Linked DNA regions of Notamacropus eugenii. The protein of the gene in region 1 purifies or fractionates together with the protein of each later gene. This does not show direct contact. Links are inferred from orthologs where the notes say so. Each region holds a gene or a part of one and is shown on either strand. Other genes may lie near its edges. The genes, in order: SOX9 and FBXW7.

Region 1 (8,423 bases):
ACTGAATTCAGCTTTATTCAGCTGGGCCAAACCACCTCTGGTTAAAACTTAGAGAAAAAAAATTAAATGAATTCCAAAAATGTTGTCCTGGGATCATCCTTCCTTGCCTTTCCCCTAGATTCCCCCAAGTCTTTTAAGGATGGATTGGGGACAATTAGAAGTAGACATACAGCGCGCGGGCCCCGTAGTTAAGGACACGGATTTTCGGGAAGAAAGCCAACCACACTCTTTGGGGCTTTTCCTCCCGCCTTCCCCTCTGCCTTGTAAACAAGAAAGCGGTCCGTAGATTTTTTCTTTCCCGCTTAGCTCGCCAACCATTCTGGCTCCTTGCCCTAGGAATATCCCGCAGTCTTCAATACAATGCACACCGCGCACGCACGCACGCAGCCTAGCTAGCTTCTCTGCTGTGGACTCGAGCCCCTCACCCCCACCCAGACACACACACCCCCACCCAGACACACACACACACACACACACACACACACACATAAGCACGTGTACATATTAGCATTCGAAAAATCACCAAGGTCGGGAAGATGAAGTCCTGCCTTGAAATACAAGTGAAAACGGGGGTTTCTGTACTGCCCAATCTAGATGACACAAATTTTAGCTACCTGGTCTAGCATCTTTCTAAGTTTTGAAGAGCATTTGAGTATTTCCTAAAGGGCAATTAAAACACACACACACACACACACACACACACAATTTTGTACACAGAGTGTACAAAGCTCTAGTAACTTAAAGCAGCATTAAGAATTTTTGGGACACCCTCTATGTATGGTGCTTACGGAGACTCTTGGACTGTGATGTGAAACACACACGTTATACGTAAAGTTGATGTATTCTTTCATTCGACAAATATTCTTTAAGATAGGGTGCTACAGTTCCCAGTCTCTATTTCTTCTCAGTCAGACTTCCATCCAGGGGACTCACATTTACCTGTGGCTCACTCCAAAGGTTTCTTCCAGGCTCATAGAAAGTAAAAAGGCCCCGCAAGACAAAGGAAAGAATTAATTACATGAGTTGGGGTTTAGCAAGCCAAAGCATTTGCTGGTTGTTCTGCTTGGGGTAAGAGACTGGCACTTTTCTTCGGAAGGGAAGGAAAAGGGCCTTAGCGACTTTTCAGCGGGTCTGGAGACACATAATAAGTGCCTAGGACTAGGTAAGAGGAATAATTTACCCTTTGTTTAGGTGAAGAAATTTGCTAGTAAAACTTCTAGCTTAATTTTTAACAGAAAACCCTAGTATTGGCTCCTCCACCTTACCAGCTTCTTCCAAATAGATCAATCTCGTCCTGTCCTGGCTCTCAGTTCTACCAGAAAGAGAAGGTTAGAAAAATGCTTAGAGTAGGTGAAGGGGGTGGGGAGACACAAATAGGGGAGAAAGGTAAATAGAGGAGCTCCCAGACTTCGGTTTTCTAGGATTCCAGGCCCCACTCTCCTTGGTGTCTAGCTGCCCAGGCCGCAGACTTTACAGCGCCTGTCTACTCTGGAGCTATGCTGGGTCCAGTTAAAATCCTGATGCTCTTAAAAAGAAAAGCAGGCAAAAGAGGGTGGGGGAGAGAACCACCTACAAATATAACAATAATATATTTGTTAAACATTATCCTTTAAAAACTAGTTGGATTCTCTTCAAGACTACCACTCCACAGTTCCTAGCCTGCCTCTCCTCAACCCCACACATATACATACACACTAACACAACCATTAGACTGAGACATTAGTCTACTGAAGGAATTAGGTTGGGAATCCACCTTTATTTCCTTCTTAAATATCTATTTTTGCAGGTTTGTGAATTGTTGCCTAAAATTCATGTGTCCTGAAAGAGTAAACTTTGAGTGGGCACTGGGGGGATGTGGGTCATTGGTTCTTCGGTAGGGATGACCTGGGATGGAATGATGCCATTGGAGAAGATGAGAACTGTGTTTCTCTGTGAAACCTTCTCCTTCAAATGAAAGAACTAGCTGCCAAGTCCGCTTTTTTAAATTTCTCCAAAGAGGAAGGCTTCTCACCAGCAAATTTTATTATGCAAATGGCACTGGCCTTTTCAGTGTCCAATGAAGAGAGATACATTTGGACTTGGTGTGTCCTTAGGTGAGAATGTCCTTCTATTTCACCATATGGTAAGGAATCAAAACCTTGGACATTTCCTCCAATCATCCTGGCCCCCAACATCATTCACTCCTACCCACACACCTATCTATATGTTCACATCTCAACTTCCCCCCAGGTTTGCTCCAGAAATGTTGGAGCTCACTAGGGAGAGAGACAACCAGAGAAAAACAGAAAGATAGACACACAGGGAGAAACATAGGGACACAGACGCAAATACAAAGACAGAGACCCAATGAAACAGAAACAAATCTCCCAAAAAAAAAAGACGGAGACAGAAACAGGGACACATAGAGACAAACCCTGAGACAGACAGAGAAACAGAGATGGAGATAGTCAGACGGAAAGACACAGATACACATACATAGAGAGAACACCAGAGACAGAAGTAGAGAGAGGAGGAGGAGGAGGAAGAGGAGGGGGGAGGAAGAGAAAGAGAGAGAGAAAGAGACAGAGACAGAGAGGGAAAGAGAGTGGTCCACGAACTCCAAAAGATATAAATCACATCACCAAACTCCAGATTAACTCAAGACTTTCCTCACCCTTCAAAGATTTTCTAAAGTTTCTCTTAGAAACGTAGAGTTCGTTCTTTTCTGGGCTTTTGGTGCCCCCTCTGGATGATGCTAGGAATTGCATGCTTTTCTCTTTTTTTAAATATCTGAAAGTTTACAATTAAGTTTAAGAAGGTACGGCAATATGCATGTTTCAAATGCACAAAAAATGCACAAAGTACGGTTACCGCTTTTTAAAATATGAGTATATAATTCATAATTCCCAATGTGGTATTACATGTAATATATAATATGTTGTACTGAAACTACTCAGAGAAATATTTTTAAATACTTTAAGGTCAAAGTCCACCTAACTGTCATTGTGCTAGTAATTAATTACAGGAATTAATATTTTTAAACTCTTCTAAATATTTTGGCAATGATTTTCTTTAAATCTCTGCTCACAGCTTGCAGTTTGTGCATGTATTCTTCCAGTATGTGCAAATTAGAAGAAATTAAACAATTACGTTTACAATTCCCTTTCAATACACAGGAATACACAACACAATTCCATCCCCCACCCTCACCCCAAGAAAGCAATATACCCTATTGGCATCCTACTTGCCAATACAACAGATGCACATTCAAGTTGGTTGTATGGTAGTTTTTTCAACACACAAACATGGTTATGCAGACGTTTAAGATTTTACTTTCCCTAGTGTCAAATAAGTATAATTTCTAAGTCATACAACTGTGACTACACTGTGATGAGTACACATTTCTTTTTTTTTTTTAATTACTTTCTTTTAGAGAAAAGGAGGCAAAAATTTTAACACTCTCCTCGAGAAAAAGTTTTTTTTTTCGTTTTTAAGAAAACCATCGAACACTGCCAGCTATTTTCAAATTAAATTAGGAGAGACATTTTATGTACCGCTCGTAAAATTCAACCTCCCCCCTCCAAAAAAAATCATCTAAAGCGAAGTGAAAATGTCTCAGAGTGGGAAAAGAGGGTGGTTCGTGTAAAAACGACGAGTTATTCCAAGTTATTCAAGTTTTGTGAAATTTTTAAGACGCAAATCCCACAGGGTTTCTAAGGCTGTTCTTGCGCTCAACACAATTTCAAAACCTATACTACTGGACTTTAGCGTCCTTAAGTATTCCTCTTCTAAAAGCTTTCTGTGGCGAGAGATAAAACCTTTTAAAAGTCGGCTAAAAAGGCATCCCACAATCTTAACAGTAGACACTTAAGAGAGAAGAAAGTGAAAATGCCTATCGTTCTTCCCTAGGCAAAGTAAAAGGTACATTGCAACTTAACTAAAGTGAAGTTTTTTTTTCTTTTGTAGTTCTGTTTGGGTTGTTAAATGACAAACCTTTGCCAAGCTGTCCCTCACTGCCTCGCGGATTAGGGGAGTTAGCTATCTAAAGCTTTGAACCATGAGCAAAGTCTTTCTAGTTGCAAACAGACACATTTTATAGAAGATGAGACCTTCCTGTTAGAAGACCTGAGTATGACTGCCATATAATCAGGGTGAGGAGAGTGGGGAGCAAGATAGATAGGGTAGAAGTTCTAAATGTCTTGTCAGAGATCAAGGTTCATTAGCCACCTACCCACCAGAGTGGATAGGGTGGAGGTGGAGGCTGAGCTGGTCGAGAACCCGAATTCCAGCGCTGCCCAGCACTAGCTTAGTGGGCACTACTTGGGTTTGAAGCAGCAGCGCCTAAGCATATTTGACAAGCGACACCGACCACAGGGAAGCATGACACGTTAATCTATTTATGCGGATTGTTGTGGAATAACAGCAGCCGTTAAATCTCCCAGACATTTTGCCGTTTTAAACTTGGGTTTTTTTGTTTTTCCTAAGCATATTCTGAGGCCAGCTCTAAGCGAATAATCTGTGTGAGACACTTGTAGCCACGGAGTCGCTTTCACGGGACAGTAAACTCCATCTACATCCTCGGTCATACTAAAAACTTTTTTTTTAAGTCTGTCTAGACAAACACGCGCGCGCGCACGCACACACACACACACACACACACACACACACAGAGAATAGTTTGCCCTGAGATAGTACCAAACTTCTGACATACCAAGAGCGCAGCAAAATCACACACAGACGTTTCTGGTCCCCCGCCTTCCCTTACACCCCATCCCCACCCCCACTGCCATCCCGCCCCTCCCATCCCAGAAACTGCAAGGGGCGCTCCCCTCCCCAAAACTTTTAGCCAATCAGCTGTGAAAGGCCGGGCTGTGATTGGCCGAAAGTCTCTAAGGTGAGGGAGTATTTATTAAAGAGACTGAGCCAGAGATTTGGAGAGTAGAGAACGGGGCTTGAAAATTGACTAGGTACTTTGGTGAAGCCTCGATTCCAAACCCTCCCACTTCCCCCCTCCCTCCCCAAGAACTTTTCTTTGGAGAAGAGAAAGAGCACCCACTTTTTCTCTCTCTCTTTTTCTCTGTTCCTTGAATCTCCCAACTTCGAGCGGGTGGCGGCGGACTGGACACCCCCCAGCTGCCCCGCAGATCTTTGCATCAGGGCGGCTCGGCGGACTTGCGAGCTTGCCGTGCAGCCCACTGCTCCTTCTCCGACCAGCTGAGGCGCGAGGACCCTACGCCTCCCGCCCGGCAGTGCCTTGGGTCAGAGCCCCGGCTCTCCTTTTCTCGTAACCCGCCCCCTCCCTCGGGCTGTCGCATGAATCTCCTCGACCCCTTCATGAAGATGACCGACGAGCAGGAGAAGGGCCTGTCTGGAGCCCCCAGCCCCACTATGTCGGAGGACTCGGCGGGCTCGCCCTGCCCCTCGGGCTCGGGTTCGGACACTGAGAACACCCGGCCCCAGGAGAACACTTTTCCCAAGGGCGAGTCCGATCTGAAAAAGGAGAGCGAGGAGGACAAGTTCCCCGTGTGCATCCGGGAGGCAGTCAGCCAAGTGCTCAAGGGCTACGACTGGACCCTGGTGCCTATGCCCGTGCGAGTCAATGGCTCTAGCAAGAACAAGCCGCATGTCAAGCGGCCCATGAATGCCTTCATGGTGTGGGCGCAAGCGGCTCGCAGGAAGCTTGCAGACCAGTACCCGCACCTGCACAACGCCGAGCTCAGCAAGACTCTGGGCAAGCTCTGGAGGTAGGTTCTTAGAGGAGATGCCGATCCACTCTCCCCCGGCCGAGCCCACCGCGGGGGACTGAAAGAAATTGGAGTTGGGGGCGGGGGGAAGAACTGGTGGCGCGGGACAGGGCAGCTCTGAGTTTGACCAAATTATTTGGATGCCATGTTTTGCAAACTTAAGCTTCCCACACTCTCACCCGGAGGGGCTGGAGTGCTATCTCACTGGAGGCAAGGAGAGGGGTGCTTGGTTAATTCGATATTGCGAATGAAAGCGAGGGGGAAGGAAGTGAAAATAGGGGCGTATAAAGTGTGTAATAGGAGGGATGGAGGAAAATTTTTTGAAAGTAGATTAATTAAAGCTTAAACTCTGCAAACTTGAGGGGCGGGGGAGGGGGTCGGTAGATGGAGGGGTGTGTGTGTGTGTGTGTGTGTGTGTGTGTGTGTGTGTGTGTGTGTGTGTGTGTGTGTGTTTCTGTGCCACTTAAGTGAGATCTCGGGAGAAAGAGAGAGGGCAAAAAAGGGGGGGCAGAAAGGGAGCTAGGGCGTAGGAAGGAATTTTTTGATTTGGGTGATGGCTTCTTTGTAATTCATTCTGGTAAACTGGCTGGTGCTTTACAGTGGTGGTGAGGAGAGGCTGGGAAAGTGCACAAGAGCCTATGAAAAGAAGAGAGGAGGCTGGATTTGGGGAGGGTGAAAGATAGGGGCAAAGGCAAAGGAGGCCACAGTTTAAAACATTTTTACCAGGAGGTAAAGCAATTTATCAGGAGGGGAAAAAAAACTTTTTTTTAAGGTGAGAGAGAGATGAGAGACAGAGACAGAGAAACAGAGACAGAGAGACAGACAGACAGACAGAGAGACAGACAGACAGAGAGAGAGAGAGAGAGAGAGAGAGAGAGAGAGAGAGAATTAACCCTGATAGCAAATTCCCCAAAGAGAAGCAGCAGACCCCGTGCCCATCTCTTGACTGTTTAGAAGAGAGAGAAAGAAGAAAAGGAGAATAATTACCTCATCTGACCTACACAATACAGTTTTATATAATCTTTTTGCTTATTATTTTAAAAAATAAAGCTAAAATTCCTCTATTAGACCAGTCAACTTGAATAGGATGAAGACTGCAATTCCCTCCAGATAGTCTTTTAAGAGACGTTCCATAGGAAAGTAACTGTATTGTACAGTATCAGGGCCCCACCCCCTCCCCAAATTGACAACTGTGCTGGTAGTCTTACCCTCTCTCCTCTCTTCTCCCCCTCTTTGCTCAGGCTGTTAAATGAGAGTGAGAAACGGCCTTTTGTGGAAGAGGCAGAACGACTGAGGGTTCAACACAAGAAGGACCACCCAGATTACAAGTACCAACCTCGGAGGAGGAAGTCAGTCAAGAACGGGCAGGCGGAACAGGAGGAAGGTACTGAGCAGACCCACATCTCGCCCAATGCCATCTTCAAGGCGCTGCAGGCAGACTCTCCGCATTCTTCCTCTGGCATGAGTGAAGTGCACTCCCCTGGGGAGCATTCTGGTATGTCGGATCCCATCCCCACCACTAACCATTCCCCAAGCCATTCACTCATACATTCAGCAGAGTGCCCCCCACCTCCCTCTTCACCTCCATCCCCATGGAGATTTCTACTCCTATGCCATCTCTGGCTAACCACTGTCTTCTGCATACAAATGTGCAAATTCAGGGCATTTCTGCAACTGGCCATATTGAAATAGCCACATTTTTTTCCTAAATTGCAATATCGAAGATTTGCAAAGGCTCTCAAAAACTCCATAAAGAGGAGTCCAATCTATTATCCACCCACTCTCCAAACACACTACAGCTGACCTAAAATATGCTCAGTTTAGTGTCTCAGAACTACTTGACTTCAGATCCACCGAAGATAAAAGTAGGTGGCTAGGTGTGTACCCTCTCTGGTTAATCATTCAGTGGCTTATCTCCATTCCAGGTCACTACTTGCTCAGGTCAGGGTCTTTATTACACCTTAGCAGTTAAACAGGGACCATAAAAGTGTTTCCCAGACAGGTCTATGCAGTTATCCAGCCCAAGTCCTTATCAAACATAATATTGACTTTTCTGTGTTTCTTCTTTTCTACAGGACAGTCTCAGGGCCCACCTACCCCACCCACCACCCCCAAAACTGATGTGCAGGCAGGCAAGACTGACCTGAAGAGAGAGGGACGCCCCTTGCAGGAAGGGGGAAGACAGCCCCCTATCGATTTCCGAGATGTGGACATAGGGGAACTGAGTAGTGATGTCATCTCTAACATCGAGACCTTTGACGTTAATGAATTTGACCAATATCTCCCACCCAATGGCCACCCAGGAGTCCCAGTTACTCATGGCCAGCCTGGTCAGGTTACTTATACAGGAAGCTATGGCATCAGCAGCACTTCTGCCCCCCCATCTTCGTGGATGTCAAAACAGCAGCAGCCTCAGCAGCCCCCACCTCCTCAACAGCCTCCTCCACCACCTCAGCCTCCTCAGGCCCAACCGCAGCCGACACCGCAGCAGCAGCAGCAGCAGTCAGCCCAGCAGCCACAGGCACCATCTCAGACCCATACCCTCACTCCTCTGAGCAGTGAACAGGGCCAGTCCCAGAGAACACACATCAAGACCGAGCAGCTCAGCCCCAGCCATTACAGTGAACAGCAGCAGCATTCCCCGCAGCAGATCCCCTACAACCCCTTCAGCCTGCCCCATTACAGCCCCTCCTACCCTAC
Region 2 (8,170 bases), on another chromosome or scaffold:
AGTCAAAATGAATTACTTTTCCTAAACATAGTACATTTCCACCTCTGTGCCTTTCTTAATTTTATTTGGAATGCAGATCCCTACACCCTCGTTCAACGTAACTTTCCTTGGAATGTCCTAGTCCCTAGCTCACCCAACTCAATTCACACCCATTATTTAAGGTCCAACTTCAAATGCTTTCTCCTCTATGAAGCTTTCTTTAGCTATTTCATATTTAGAGATTGCCTTCCTACCACCCCCCACCCCAGAACCACCAGAGCATTTTATACCACTTTCATTCAACTATGAATTATAATTGCTTATGCAGACTATTGCATAAACCAGTGCTTCTTAATGTGGGTCACCATATGGGGTCACAACCCATAGTTTAAGAAGTGCTGAAGGGGTCATTAGTGAAAAAAGCTTAAGAAGTCCTAGTATAATAAATACCTATATAGTCTATACAGCCTAGACTTCACTTGGGAAATGATATAGTGTTTTTAAAGATCTTTCTTGAAACAAAGTCCCATCATTTAACGGCAAAATTTTTCTGGTAATGTTACAGTTATATAGCAAGGGATACTAATTAGTGAAGAATTAAAATCAATAAAGAGTTTACATGTACGCATGAGAAACCTGCAATATATTACCAATGAAAAACTGATATTATTCATATGGGAAACAAAAGGAGGAATTCTGTTTCCATAGGATGAAGACTCCTCCCAGCTTTGAGTAACAGCAGAATGTAAGTCAGAGATGACTAATTCTAATCAGAGTTGTGACCTTGCAGAACCTGGCTTCTGATCAGGTAAAAGTTCAGAAGCTTGTGTGTATGCTTAATGAGCTGTTTGAAAGGGAACCTATCAGGGAGAAAAATATGAAATAGGATATTTAGGAGGCTTCATCTCATCTTCATCTTCATCAATGGAGAGCAAGGTGGGAAATTCGAACTGGGAACAGCATAAAAAGGCTTGCATTATTCTTGCATTATGAACAAATGTAGCAGTCCATTAGGAACTACCTGTTCATTCAGGAGGGAATAAACATAAAAATTAATAAAAGTTTTCCAAATTTCACAATAAGTATTGATCTTTGTTTAAAGTGAGTATATTTCTAACACTCAAATAAATATATGGCTACCAAAATAAGTACACATATACTGAAAGCAAAAAATACTGGTACTCAAACAATATTCAAGTGAGCTAGAGAAAGACCCCTGGCAGAGATTCACAGAATTGCAAGGGATGAGAAGTCATGGATGGATTGTGATTTTTATCAATGAAGGGGTTGAAGACCATCTAAGAATTAAAATATAGGTATTTTATTTCCACTACTAGAATTAAAATTCCTTAAGCGCAAGGAATTTATCATATATCATTGTATCTCCCTCAGTGCTATATGCAATGTGTATATATGAATGAACCAAAATATGTCTTCACAATTTAATCACCTGTGGAAAATATTGCCAAGTGTTTCACTTAATAAAGATTTTAGTTTTACACAATTAGCCCACAGAATGGGTAGAAGTAGTCCCTTATTTATTAATGGGGCACAGATCAAAAATTAATGGATAAGAAGGCTGTTCAGAACCCCAAATGTAATTTATAAATGCTAGCTAAGATTCCTAGACCAGAAAACAAAAGGCTACTTAAACCACAATGCAACTGAACTATGGTGCTAGTAAAACTAGTCTGAATTCTGGTTCCTGAAAGCAGCAGCCACGTGGTACAAAACTGAGGAACAACAAGACTCTCTCCCTACGTTTCAGGTACAGAGCAGGCCCTACGCAAGCTTTTTCTATGCCTCTTTCTGTATTTTCTATATCTTTAACATATTATCTATATTTTCCCACATATTGTCTATATCTCTTTCTCCCCTATTCCTCCTAGATCACAAACAAGGTTCTCATACTATCTAAATCCTCCACTTACATCATCAGCCAGCATGCTGATGTGATAACTGTCACTACATTTCCTGTAATCATTTTCAAAATAAAAAATTTTAAAACTAACTTAACTGCACTTTTCTTAATTATCATGAGCAGCATCTATACTGTGTTATTTATAATTATCAGTGATAAAAGAGGCATCTGGCAAAAACTGCAAACAAATAATATAAATCTAATGAGTTCTGGTTAAGAACCTTATGACAGTTTTCAAAGAGTTATACTGGCAATACTTAAAACTAAAGTAATTTTTTCATTGCCAAAAGTATAACATTTTTATAACATACTTCTGAACCACATTTCTTTTGTTTGTTTTGTCCTAAGATTCTGCAAGAGATACACATTCCACAGAGACATTTTAAGAAAAGTTTAACACGTTACTACATTGGAAAAGTTGTTCTGCCTATGAAAACATTGAGCCATTAGGATGAAAGGATACTGTCAAGACACCTAGCAGAAAGTTATGATGCTAAATCAGACAATCATGATAACAATAACAGAACTCTATCATGTGTAACTTGACCTATATTTGGTTTTGTGATGAGTTTTAAGTATTAGCCAAGCAGTATCTTTCACTCAGGAAAGCTTTACAGGACATTAGGAAGAGTTGTACTATATCAAACCAGGAGAACAGATGCGTTTTCAATTTTCAGAATATACAGTGTATTCATACAAATATTTATTAAGTAACAGTAAAATAAAAGAATGAAAAACTATATTCAATCATATCAGACAGGTAACAACATCTAATATCTACCAACATTTTATGAACAAAAAAATGGGGAAAAAATACATAATTTATAACATTTCACAGAAAAAAGCCTGTAAATCTATTTTAATACTACATTTATTCCAAACAAAAATCCTATCCTGATTCAAAAGAAGTGCTATGGCTTTAAATGTCTAGCAGTTTAAAATCAACTCTAGGCTGAAATCACAACATCCATTAGTGTGTTGCACAGTTCAGAGCAAGCAAGTGGTTGTCAGTGCAGCCAGTAAATCACCTGATCCTATTACAAAATCAATTACTGCAGCGCGTTCCCATTGCTACACAACCCGATGATGACAAAATGATATTGGATAGCTACTGCAAGGTCAAGAAAACTGCTAAGAACATCCTTAATTTACCTTTTATCATTAGTTCCAAATGATAATGTATCTGATTTAACTATATATTTTGATTTAAAATAAATCTACAGTTACCTTTGGTTGACTGGGGCATTCGATGGACAGTCTCTGTAACTGGTCTGATGTATGGCTGCAAGACAGCAGATCGGAGCAGCAGGTCGAACGGCCCAGCCTCTTCATGAAAGAAGAAATAATGCTGCAGCCACAGCCACACATTGACTTGCTCATCAGATGAGTTTTCTCCTTAAGAAATCAGAACTGGTACTGCCCCATATATACTCAAAATTGGCTGACTGCCTCATTCTGCAGCTTCCTAGCTGAAATAAACACTGCTAAACAGAAAAAACAACAGTGATCTTCCAGATACCAGCTACAATCTCATCACCAAGAAAACTCAAGAAAAGCAGTCTCCCACAGTCCTCTTTTAAAGGTAAGTTGCTTAAAAATTCCTAAATGTTTTATAGTGGAATTTAAGTACTTAATAAAAGAGTAAACTTATGATAAGATGTCCTAAAATTTCACTAACCACTGCTTCTGTCCTCCATCACTTTAAATGTGTTTGATGACTCCTTCAGCTCAGCCTATCGAACCTGTTCCCTCTGTAAATGCACACAATTTCACGACCAACAGGAACGAGCCTCACCCCTCCCTTGCCATGTACACACTGTTCGAGAACAGCTCAATACCTGGAAAAGAACTGCTTGCTGCATTGCTTACAAAAATAACAGGCAGTGAATTATTGGATGGATTCTTTAAACTTACCAATCAGAGCTGCTGACCTTTTATGGCTCTATACTTCCAGAGACCTGCCAGATACTTGACTGTTTTCAGAGTGATAAACTAATTTTACTACTAGGCTCAACATTAATTTACTCCATCTTTTTAACCCTATCACAACTTAAAACATAGGAATAAAAAGAAAATCATATACATCTAAGAAATGTGGCCAATATAAAACTACGCATGGGGGAGGAAGAATTGGCAAACAATTATTTTGAATATTCATATATTTTAAACTACAGAAGAACTGTGAAAGAAATCTATAAAATATCAATGCAAATAATATGTGAAATGAACTGCAAAAGGAAGCAAAAGTGAGAAAACTATTTAAAGGAAAAAAACACGCATAGCTATAGCTGGGCAGATAGTAATTACTATCAAACAGAAACAAGAGTTCTAGGCACTAAATATCACTCTTGGTAAAACTAAATTTTCTGCCATAACTTTATCTAAATAGTCAAAATGAAGTGAAAAAATTAGTTCTAGATAATTTAACAGAATAGGAACATTACATATACCCTTCTACAACCAAGAAGAAAAAAACTTTTAACGTATTCTTACTTCGACAGTAATGAAAAATTAAAAAAAAATTTTCCGCCATCTACTCAGGACACATTACAGTTTCCAGCATCCAAGGGTAACAAACTACTCTGCACATTTATAAAGTAATTTTATTTCAAGTAAGTTTCACTTATTGGAACATCTCCTGGCTATCGACTGCATATTTTATCAGCAAATTTCTCTTTAGATATAGTTTTAAATTATAAGTAGAGCTGCTTAATTTAAGAGATATAAAGAAAAAGAGTCTCATGTTCTACTGCACTGAAAGAAAAGTTCCTTATTTGTTGATCTCTCCCCTCCTTGGCTCAACACTAAAACGAGCTAGTACTGCTTCTCCCTTCACCTTGTGTTGCCCTTTTCAAATTCATGTTTCTGTTAAATCAATTTCTAGCAATACCTAAATAGAGGCATGAACTCCAAATTAATTTTTTTAAGATTTTTTTTCTACATAAAGACAAGGGATACAAACAAACAAAATAATGCAGTAACCTTTTACTCGCCTGCTGGAGGTACTGTCTGCTGCATAGAATTTTAAATCCTGATCTGCAGATGCAATTGAGCTGGTATTGCCAAGGACTCTGCTTTTTCTGTGCTGCTTCTACATGGCTATTCATCGAAAGAGCATATTATGTGGCAAAATTAAAGTACTATCTGCTGAAATTTTTCATAACATTGGGGCGGAGGTGGGAACTTCTAAAACCCTGTTACAGATTGTCCTGTCACATTTTCAGATGCCTGTCAGACATCAGAAAAGGTCGCATTGATGATATGCTTTTAACAAACATGTAGGAAGATGACTTGGAGAGGGAATCCAAAATTATTATACTGTTAATGTGCAAAGACATTACTAGTAAAACTAGGTAAAATATATGTTGCAAAAACTCTTTCCAGAAGTACAATAGCTATAATAATTAGTTTTTAGATTTATCAGTAAGTAAATCCTATTTTACTAATAGGACTGGTTAGAAGATAATTGTTTCTGGTATATTGCAGGTATGTCTGCATAAAGCTTCTCATGCATACTAATATTAACAAAACTATGAACATTTTTAGCTACTCAATTTAAACACTTTCAGAATGAAAACATAAAGCAACAACATAATTAGAAAATCAGAAGCATTAAGTACTTGTGGACTATCCAGATTTTCAAACCCTAGAGTATGCTATAATAGGGATGAAATGGGAACAGTGAAGGCTATTATTCATTATTTATGATTTTTCCCTTTATGTCAGCTAATTTAATGTACTATTGATTCTCAAGATGCATATAGATGGGGCAAGAGGCAAACCAACAGGATCATATATACAAATGAAAAAGACTATCACAAAAATCAGTGAAAGATTATTTAAAAAAATAGTAAAGCTACTGCTAAAATTTCAGTTAAATCTGTGAAACAAAAGTAAATGAATGCCAATGCTTCAATTACCATACAATTAAACTATATAATTATTCGCCAATAAAATATAAAAATTACTGGATGTTTAAACTTATGCCATTATTTTTTAAGCCTTGGGGGAAAACACAAAAATAGGACATTTAAAGAGAATAATACTAGTTTGATTTTACCTTCTTTAGAGAAAAACGAAAATACTTCAATAACTGGGGAGAAGTGTTGAGAAATACGTAAATAACAGGCTGATAATGGCTCATCTGCAACAAAGCAAATAATAATCAAGCCTAAACTGATCTATTAGATCAGACCAGACTTATGTTTCCCTTATGTTTTAAAATACAATTTATAATTTCATTTCCACTAAAGAGGAGGAAAATCCTCCCACGTTTGTACTTTCCTAACAGATATTTAAGCTGTAATCAACTTTACAAAAGTTATGCTGTGTTGCCAAAAGATGACATATTCAGTCAAACTGAACAAGATAGAAATCCTCATCGCTGTTTTATCTGATGTATACCGTTTAAAGAAAGACTAGTCATCTTTTTTTTTAATCTAAAGGTAAGATCCTTTTATCATAAATTAAACTGTATATGTTATTATGCCCTTAAATTTAACAATTCTCTCATTCATTTTAAATACTCAATATATTTTCAGTAGTTTTTCTCTTCTATGTTAAGTGTGTGTGCGTGTGTGTGTATGTGTATATACGTACAGATAAATAAAAGCACCATCAAGCAGCAAATAACTGTTCTGAAAAATTCAATTCTGACTTCCAAAAATCAAAGTGAAAAATCACTCTGGCTCTACAAAAATTCTGGAAAAAAAAATTAACTGAGAAATAAAGAAAAATTCAATAAAACACTAAAAGTTCTTTTGGAAAACACAAAAGAAATACAAAATTATGCCCCATAAGAAAAATAGAATTCTTTATGTTCTTATAAATGCTGATACATTTAAACATTAAGTAAGTCTCAAAAGAAATATGAACTTTATATTAGAAGTTGCAAAGATCCTTTATCTTCCTCCTTTCCCCCTCAGGTTCCCTACTTCCTTGGTACATTTTACATTAACATGCCAAGTTTTAATTTTTTTTGCTACAAATTCTCAGATTAAATCTGTGGGATGCAGTCCACCTAAACAAGCTCTCTACACATGGCCAAATTTTAATTATTCATTTGAAAATACTTATTAATTATCTTTTATTCATAAGATACCTTACTGGTCCAAGGGGCTTATAAAGAGGTAGACTATGGTGAGCATATAAGGTAATAACTGATTTTGATGCATGACTTATAGAATACTTTTCATTACTTTATAGTCACACCCTATACATAACCCCTATGCTCAAGAAAATTTAGAATGGAGGTCAGAAGGGGGAAGACAAAAACACGTTGAAAGTTAAGTAGTTAATTAATTCTTTAATTGTGCTTTCTTAGCTACTCTCTTATTTCATTTTCACAAGGGCACTATGAGGTGGGTAGGGATGCTATAATCCCTTATATTTTATAGTTGATGAAACAGGTTCTGTGAAGTTGCTACCTGAAAATAATCACACAGCTGGTAAGTGGCAAAAGCACAAGTCAAATCCAGGTCTTCTTGTCTTAAAGTATAATGCTTTCTTCACTAGATCACATTCTCTTCTCAGTAATGATACAGGACAAAAATATTAAAGGTGTCAAGAAATAGTAGAGAACTAAGTCCCAAATAAGTGATACAGAGAGTTTTATAATTTCAGGAGAGAGATTATTATATGAATTTGTGAATGCAGATGGTATTTGAGCTAGGCTTTGAGGAAAAAGGCAAGATCTAAGTTGACAATAGGATAATGAAGGGATGGCACTATATTTACAGGAATACATATAGCATGTGCAAGAAACAGGGAGTATACTAGACTAGCTGGAGTTGTGGGTTGATATATGGAAGTAGTAGAAGAGAGGTCAAACTGTAGAAGATCAGGAATGAAAAGTTAAGGATTTTAGACTTTATTTGGCAAAGAGGAGTCAAAGAAGCTTTTGAGCTAAGGAGTGATATAAATATTTTAGGAAAATTAATCTTGCAGCAGTGTACAATGTAAATGGGAGAGTGAAACAAGATACCAATTAGGAAAAAAATGCAATAATCCAAAGAGTGGAATGATGGGAATATGAATTAGGGTAGAAGCAGTATAAACAGGAAGATAAAGTGACAAGCTTAAGACAAAAATAAATATAATATGGCTCTTTTGATTATGGGAAACAAAATAGAAAAAAGAATGAAATAATAAACCATTATAACTGATGAATTTATCCATATCAATGCTGGAATAAGAACATAAATAATGTAATTCATATTTAAGTTTAAATTCAATTCAAAAAACATTTGTTAGAGAAACAAAGATAAACAG

Evidence for each region.
Region 2: the proteins of SOX9 (region 1) and FBXW7 purify together in Homo sapiens (affinity purification with western blotting; 4 studies listed by BioGRID and IntAct, with this or other methods). This does not show direct contact. The link is inferred for Notamacropus eugenii from reciprocal best matches to the Homo sapiens genes SOX9 and FBXW7.

The regions. Positions count from the first base shown.
Region 1 is NC_092873.1:336,856,117-336,864,539, forward strand, and holds the start of SOX9 (transcription factor SOX-9), read left to right. Parts: upstream 1-4,911; 5' UTR 4,912-5,292; coding exon 5,293-5,723; intron 5,724-6,964; coding exon 6,965-7,218; intron 7,219-7,798; coding exon 7,799-8,423. UniProt on the Homo sapiens protein: Transcription factor that plays a key role in chondrocytes differentiation and skeletal development.
Region 2 is NC_092877.1:150,480,411-150,488,580, forward strand, and holds the start of FBXW7 (F-box/WD repeat-containing protein 7), read right to left. Parts: upstream 3,382-8,170; 5' UTR 3,281-3,381; coding exon 3,128-3,280; intron 1-3,127. UniProt on the Homo sapiens protein: Substrate recognition component of a SCF (SKP1-CUL1-F-box protein) E3 ubiquitin-protein ligase complex which mediates the ubiquitination and subsequent proteasomal degradation of target proteins.